Linked DNA regions of Drosophila melanogaster. The gene in region 1 interacts genetically with each later gene. Each region holds a gene or a part of one and is shown on either strand. Other genes may lie near its edges. The genes, in order: ppk30 and Vap33.

Region 1 (3,923 bases):
TCAAACCGGCTATTCCTCCATAGGAAACTACAAGTGAAGGGTAGGGGGTACATGTCATCGCAGCTGTGATTGATCCCAAACTCACCCATTAAGTCGATCAGCGTGAAGCGGAGCATGGAGCGGTAAGAGAAGAGGGTCTCCTCCTGGAAGTACACATCTATCTCGATCGCTGCGGCAAGGTTGGTGTGGGCGCTCATCTTCTCCGTGTAGGTTGACGTGTGGTACTGGGTGTGACCGCACTGAGGAAAGCAACCGCAATCCACGGTGGAGAACACATTATCACGGGACTCTTCGATGATGTTGCTCATGGAAAAGAGGGAAACTAAGCGGAATTCAGTACATATATATCATATATATATGATTTAAGTTTAGAATTAGACCCACGTCGGTGCTGATTGAAGCAGGCCAGATCCTTCACACCGCAAATTCTACGTCCGTTGCTTTCCTTTGCAGCCGCAATGTTGTCCTCATCTTGAGTGGCCTTCACCGGCAGTTCCAAGGAGCAGTTGCACTTGCTGATGATGTAGTTGACGTGGCACTTGTAGATGCACTCCGACCGGGACTTTCCCGTTGGTATCTCATTCTAAGGTAAAATTAAGTTTAAGAGCTAGTATATATTTGGCTAAGGAAACCGACCTCAAAGTAACAACGACGCATTTGAACGGGACGTGCCCGGACATCCAACTCGGCTGTGAAATGAAGTGGTTCCACCGGAACCACGATGCGATCCTCTGAGGAATAGTCAATGCTCATGCCCAGCAACTGGGTCGGTTCGTGCACTATCACCTGGTGTGGTAATTACTCCATGTCATGACGCACTATCTATGTACATATGTCTTATCGGACTCACCCCCATTGTATTCAACGTATACAGACCCTGCTGCCGTTTGATCTTCACATTGAGTCCGCTATATGATCCGCATGAAGCCACGGACCAGGGCCACGTTTCATCTCTTCCCGAGGAGACCAGTGAGTTGAACTCGAAGGCGAAGCCATTGAAGGTCTTGGTGGGTCGGAATAGGTCACAGCAGTTCATCGCCTTGCGACGCCACTGGCACTCGGTGAAGAAGTGCTGGCAGTTCATCTGCAGCGCCTGGTAGATTCCCCAGCTCTGCGCGTTCCAGTTTTCCAGTTCGGAGAACTCCGTGAAGTTCTCATCCGTGAGGCGGGCGGACATCGGTGTTTGCCAGACCACGGACTGAACCAAGTTATAGGCCTTGGAGAGCTTCTCGGCTTTCAGGATGCTCAAATTGATCGGAATGATGGTCACGGCTGGGAAATCGATCTCGGATACATGCATGTCAGTCCTTTCGATGGAGGTCTGCACCCAGTAGTAGAAGTACCGCTCCGAGGAAAGAATGCTCACATACACGGTGGCCAGAGCGGCCATTATTTTAAGGGGGATTCTGGCGTATCTATAGATTAAAAAAAAACCGAATTTCATGGATTACTTTTGGAACACAAGAGATTATGCACGGCCAGAGTCATGGATATTTTTGGAGCGAAGGGTATCACTTACCGCCTGGTCGAAGCCCATCCACCTGCCCCCTCCTTCTTCAGCTTTTTTTTTGACTCCTTGTGGTCATCATCATTATCCTCGGAGGAGGGTTCTGGCTTCCAGGCGGTGGCACTCATTTCACTCAGCGGACGAACTGCGACTGTGGGAAAATCGCGCTAATTGGTAGTTCGATCCGCTAATCAATGCGCAGACAACCACTTCTGTCAGCGGGCTTATCAAATGGCAGGAAACATAACTACTCAATTACAAAGCTTGTGAGCCATAATGGATGGCCTGGCCGTCGGAACTTTGTCCCCTCACATACAATTACAAGTCACCTGGCCTTTGGAACGTGGCCTTAAAAGGGATCCCCGAATTCCGGCCAAAAGCTCAGTGATTGAGTGACTCGTCACCGGAATGGCCAAGGGAGATAATTCGGTCAAACCGACAGAGGCAGCCGGTTTTGGTGACAACGAGAGGTGCCTCGCGGATTTGTTAAAGGTCCACTTTCGGAGCTACTGCGAGAAGTCCACCATTCACTGCGTTCGCTATCTGTACGATTCCCACCTGCATAACTTGGAGAGGTTTGTGGTTTATCCTCTATTCATATCTACATTCAATTTTAAATTGTATATAATCATTGTATTTAGAATCATCTGGTCGATGCTGCTCATCATTAGCATCGGGCTGTCCTTCTTTTTCTACCTCCTGCTCTCCGAGCGATTCGTTTCCCAGAAGCTGCAGACGGTGGTCCACGATCCGCAGTTCCCCGTGTTTCTGGTGCCATTTCCGGCCGTGGGAATCTGCACGGACAACCGCATCAACTGGAACAAGCTGGAGGCGGCCAAGGAGCAGTTCCTGCCGACCAATGCCAGCGTGGAACTGGTCGAAAGTTTCACCGTCCTTGTTTCTCGGATGGAAACTTTGCGCTTTGGCAGTTACCTTTCAAGCTTGGCCGAGCTGGAGGACGATAACCTGGAGGCGGTGGGCTTTGTGAACCTAACTGAGCTGGCCATATTTATGACTCTTCAATGCTCGGATATCATGGTACCGAAATCCTGCCTGTGGCGCAGTTCCTCCTTCAATTGCTGCGAATACTTCGTGTTGGAGAAGACGGAGTTTGGATTTTGTTTGGTTTTCAACTCGGAGGTTTCGCCACGCTCCAAGGCAATTAAGCAGAAGGAGGGTAATAACTTCTATCCGAGGCACAATGCCAAAGCAGGCCAGAGTACGGGCTTGAATTTTGATCTAATCTTAAACGAGAGCTTCAGGCGACCCGATTCGCAGGCGAATAATAATGTCTACGTAAGTATCTGCCAGGCCGTAGAATATTACTAGATTAAACCATTTTCAGGTTATGATTAAGAAGCCCGACCAACTGAACAATGTCGTATATTCAATAACCCAAAACACGGAGACCTACGTGACTGTCCGTCCGGGTCTCACTTGGACGGATAACACCACGCGCAGTATCCCGCCGGAGCGCAGGAACTGCCTCTTCGCGGACGAGCAGGGCGAACTGGACGCCAACGATTCGGCCAAGAACTTTGGAAAGCCCTTCCAGCTCTCCAACTGTCTCAACCGCTGCCATGAGTCCTACCTAATTCAGCTCTGCAACTGCTCCTTGCCCATTTTCTTCCTGTACAACCACAGAGGTAAGTCTAATTACTCTTTTCTTAAAAAATATAATATGATTATGATGTGATTATTATATAATATAGTCCCAATATTTTCTTTCAGTTCCGGATTGCAACGCAGTCAGCCTGCGCTGCCTTGCGCGTCACAATGGTAGGAGATACATATAAGGGAATAAATTAATTCTGGAAATAAAACCCATCTGTTGCAGACATCTTCAGCTACGACAAGCGAAGGGACGAGGATGCCCTTTTCAGTGCCACCAAGCTGGGAATGACCTGTTCCTGCTTGGTGGACTGCTACCTGCTCGACTATTATACTTCCACCACCACACTGCCTTTGTCAGCCCATAAACTGTATGAAACTTGAATGGAACCCTTCTTTGATTTCTTGAGATATCTGAAACCATTCTTTGCAGACCCAAGGATCCGCATCAGAAACTCTTCAGGGTGGATGTGCACTACCAAGTGGAGACCACACCTTTGTATCGCACAAGCCTGGAGTTTACCATTATCGATCTAATTGGTAAGAGATTCAGCATGGCGAACCACTCATATATCTCGTATATTCGCAGCCAATCTGGGTGGAATCTTTGGACTTTGCTTGGGTGCTTCTATGGTCAGTGCCTTCGAGTTGATCTACTACCTTACTGTGGGACTTGCTATGCATCTATATGACCACCAGTACTATGGGGTCTTATTTAAGCACCTGAAGGCTAAGTGGGTCAATTTAAAGGGCTACCTAAGGAACGAAGTTGGCCATCTGGCTGAGAATCCCGCTGCCCACAAGG
Region 2 (3,923 bases), on another chromosome or scaffold:
GTCCAACGATGATTACGAAGAGCTGCTAAGCCTAGTACTGCGTCCCTTATTTATGCAATTAAATGTCGAGGACAAGATGGAAGTACTGCTATTGCGCGATGAGCAAAACGTTACCCAAGGATTTAATTTCAAGGCTCCCGATCATCGGGAGCGTCGCATACGCTTCTTTAATCAATTGGATTATAATAAGCGCTTCCCGATAACCAAATTTCTAGTACTGTGCTTTGAGAACGCAAGACAGACCTGGATTGATTTCTCCCACTTGGGCGTGACGCATACTCGCTTCTCGAAGCTATTCTGGCACATAGCTCAGTCTTGTCCCAAGCATGCTGCTTTTCATATTTCCGCCTGTGCCGATAACATCTTGGTGAACGAGCAACTACTTCAAAAGCCGTATGCCTTGCAGTTTACACTCTACCTATATGGCCACCGACAGATCCTCAACGGTCTCTACACGTCAGCGCGACAACTGTGCGTTAGTTTGAAAGACGGACGGTGTCCCTACGGAGAGGATGAGCTTAGGCAGGCGCAAAATAGGTTCCTAGACGCGTGTGCCTACGGTTTGGCCAAGTTTATAGAGCCCATGAACTTGCCCAGCTTGCAGTTAATCTTGAAACTGCTCAAGCAGATTAGTCTGGGTGAAAGCAATCTAATCACCCGAGGCACTGCAGAGTTAAATGCACTCGAAAAGGAGCACCCGAAATTGGAGAACGGAGACGATGCACCAGCTGTCAAGGTGGCCAAGCACTACACATATCTGAATGCCAGCTTGCCAGAGTGGCGTTTGAAACACTGGAAGCTGATCTCGCATGTCATGAAAACCATTGATGCCCTACGCTGGGACTTGGCCACCTTTGAAGATTTCCGGGTGGATAATTTAGAACTGGCGGTGTGGTATTGGCAGGACGGTCTGTCTCATCTGACATTCCTAGGCACTGGTGCGCTCTTATAAATGTAAGTCCAAGACGAAAGCCTACTAATTATTGCTCTTTCACAGAATGCCGCCAGAGGATCTTGAACCAAGTGAACAGTTTAAAGCACAAGGGCTTTTGGCTCATCTACCTTAAAGAAGACACCTTAAAGGACACACGCTCCTTTCTCAAATTGCTAACTCAGTCCAGTGCACAGGAGGCTAACGATCTCTTCAAAAAGCTCCTTAAAAAAAGGGCCGATTGTGCTGTTATGGGCGATCTTAGCGATGCAGTGGTCAAGGTGAACAGCGAGTCCGCTTTCATGGCCTTTAGATTCCTATTTCGAGAATATTTGATCGCCTTCCGGAGCCACGCCAAACACAATAAGACCATCACGAAGCGCCAGCATTGGGATCATTTGATGGCCGTTGTGGCCAAGGCTCCATTCTCCATTCGCAACGAGATTATGAAGCTAGCTAGTAAAGCCTTCGCTGTGCGATTCGGCATAAATATCCAGGAACAGCAGGCGGCCAAGTGTTAAGGAGATGCTGTTAGAAGTGTAATTTTCTTAAGCCAAATCGAAACTCCGCCGCTTGTCCAACACTTTAATTCTTAGGCAGTCAGATCTCTATATGACTAAAAACATATATAATATTCATAACGCTAGGATTGAACATCAGAATAATTTGATATCAGATTATTTTACAACTTTGTATGTCCTTTAAAAGGACGACTGTATGCACATAACAAATGTACCACTACCATGCAAATTTTTTGTCTTACTAAAAATACTTTGGCAAGCAAGTGAAGTTATTCAGCTGAAAATTAATAAAATTTTGCATGTTCTTTTTTTTCGTATTATTATGTATTATATATATAATATACAAAACGCTATGATTGAACATCAGAATAATTTGATATCAGGTTATTTTACAACTTTGTGTGTCCTTAAGGCCGACTATATTTACATAAAATATGTAATACTACCATCAAATACAAATTTGTGTTCTATTAAATAAATGCTTTGGCAAGCTTAAAATTATTGTAATTTTGCATGTTCTTATTTTTATTCGTATTTTTATGTATTACTTCGACTGCTTTGCTTCCTGTTGCAAAATTGTAACTTAAAACTAGGAAAATTTATTTTAATACATTTTTAAATTTCATGTACTCGTTATGTTATAAATTTAACTAATTTATATTCTGTCAAAAGCTGAATGGCATTATTCAGGGAAAGGAAAATTTTGGTGCAAATTGTTATTAATAACATTTTCAAATTACCTAAATAAAAAAAAATAGAAAAAATATCTTGTCTTAAAAAACACTATATATATTTTACAAGGTAATTTAACGACCAATGCTTGACAAGTATCGAAAAGTCGCTAAACTAAAAATATCGATACCCGATGCATCGATATTTTTTTCACATCACTAGCTGACAGAATATATGGCTTTTTTACATTTTGCGTTTTCAACTGAAGTTTGCGAAGAAACCGAAGCGTGGTAAACCACTGAAATCGAAAATATCGACAGAAAAGCGACCTAAAGTCGGTGAAGAAGTCGCACGTTGATCGTTGTGTTTTTTTCCCGAAATTTTCTGCAAAAAGCCCGTGCGTGCGTGAGTTTCTCTGGCTCTTGCTTTTTTTTTGTCCATGCGTGTGTGTGTGGTCGCATAAATTTACCGATATTTCGCCTGTGAGAGCGAAACGAACGAAAAACGAAAGAAAAAAAGAGAGACGAGTAAAGTAAAACGAAACAGGCATAAAAACAGCAGCAGTTTTCTTGATATATTTGGCTAAAAAACGCAAACGTAAGCGAAAAATTTGAAATCCCTCTTTTAATTTAGTTGTGTGCCTGTGTCTCGTATCTATGCGTGCGTCTGCATTTTAATATAATTTTGTGTGCATTTTCTTAACAGCAAACAGCCAGCAAGAACAACAAATAGCTGGGCAAAAACAGGACGCACAAAAAATAAAATTAAAACGATAAGAGGCGAAAAGCGGAGAGAGTGAAATTCTCGGCAGCAACAACGACAAGAACAACACCAGGAGCAGCAGCAACAACAACAACAAAAGCCAGCCGCCACAATGAGCAAATCACTCTTTGATCTTCCGTTGACCATTGAACCAGAACATGAGTTGCGTTTTGTGGGTAAGTTTATTTTACATTATTTTCGCGTTTTTGCGGAAAGGTCGCTGCATATCGACCAAAAAAGCCGATTCACCTCCCATTTCTTGCAAAGAGCAAACTGCAAGTTTCACTTTTTCTCTCTCTCACGCGCACATTTAATCTCCCTCCCTCTACGCTTTCTATTGCCATCTCGCTCGATTGGCTATCAATAATTTCCGTTGTTTTTGTTCTTCCTTTACATACGACACCTTTTATTGTTGTTCTTTTCGGGGTCTACGTGTATCATCGCTCTGCTTCTTTCCGTTTTTTTTCTTTTTTTTTTTTTTGCTTCAGCTCTTTAATGTATTTTATTTTTTGATGCCGGCAGCTGGCGTCGCTCTCTTTCTCACTTGCACTCGCCATCCCTCTCCCTCTTGCTCACTCGTTTCGCGTTTTTGGCTAGCATTATATTTTTATACGCAAAAACTTGTCATGGGCCATTTTAATTTTTTCTTGTCTTTTGGCTCCTTGAATTTTGGCCAAAAAGCAACAGCAGCAGTGACAAAAACAATGCAAAGAGCTCGCACAGTGGGTGCGACAAGTGGCACGGTTGTCATCGCATTGTTATTGAACTCCTGTTGCCAAGCTGCATTTTCCAGTGCATAAACATTTAATTTTTTTCGCGAAATTTTATCACAGTCTCAATTGCAGAACGAAATGTCTACTTAAATGACCAATCATTGTTGATTGCGATCTAGAATAATACACCAATAACCATTCACCATTTGTATTTTGTCTTATTGAAAAAAATTGAGTTAACTTTTCAAGTATTTTGCTATCGCTTCCATTGTGCGCAAATATTTTAATATCTGTGTATGTGTGAGTGAGCCTTAGCCCCATTCT

The links.
Region 2: of ppk30 (region 1) and Vap33, changing one suppresses a phenotype caused by changing the other (phenotypic suppression), as found in Drosophila melanogaster (one study listed by BioGRID).

The regions. Positions count from the first base shown.
Region 1 is NT_033777.3:29,666,870-29,670,792, reverse strand, and holds the start of ppk30 (pickpocket 30), read right to left. Parts: upstream 1,645-3,923; 5' UTR 1,636-1,644; coding exon 1,520-1,635; intron 1,416-1,519; coding exon 851-1,415; intron 787-850; coding exon 637-786; intron 584-636; coding exon 385-583; intron 323-384; coding exon 86-322; intron 28-85; coding exon 1-27. Other genes in the region: ppk20 (pickpocket 20), read left to right, coding at 1,916-2,821, 2,868-3,153, 3,239-3,286, 3,345-3,489, 3,552-3,658, 3,708-3,923.
Region 2 is NC_004354.4:3,946,652-3,950,574, forward strand, and holds the start of Vap33 (VAMP-associated protein 33kDa), read left to right. Parts: upstream 1-2,323; 5' UTR 2,324-2,721; intron 2,722-2,829; 5' UTR 2,830-2,998; coding exon 2,999-3,062; intron 3,063-3,923. Other genes in the region: Gem4c (gemin 4c), read left to right, coding at 1-938, 998-1,452.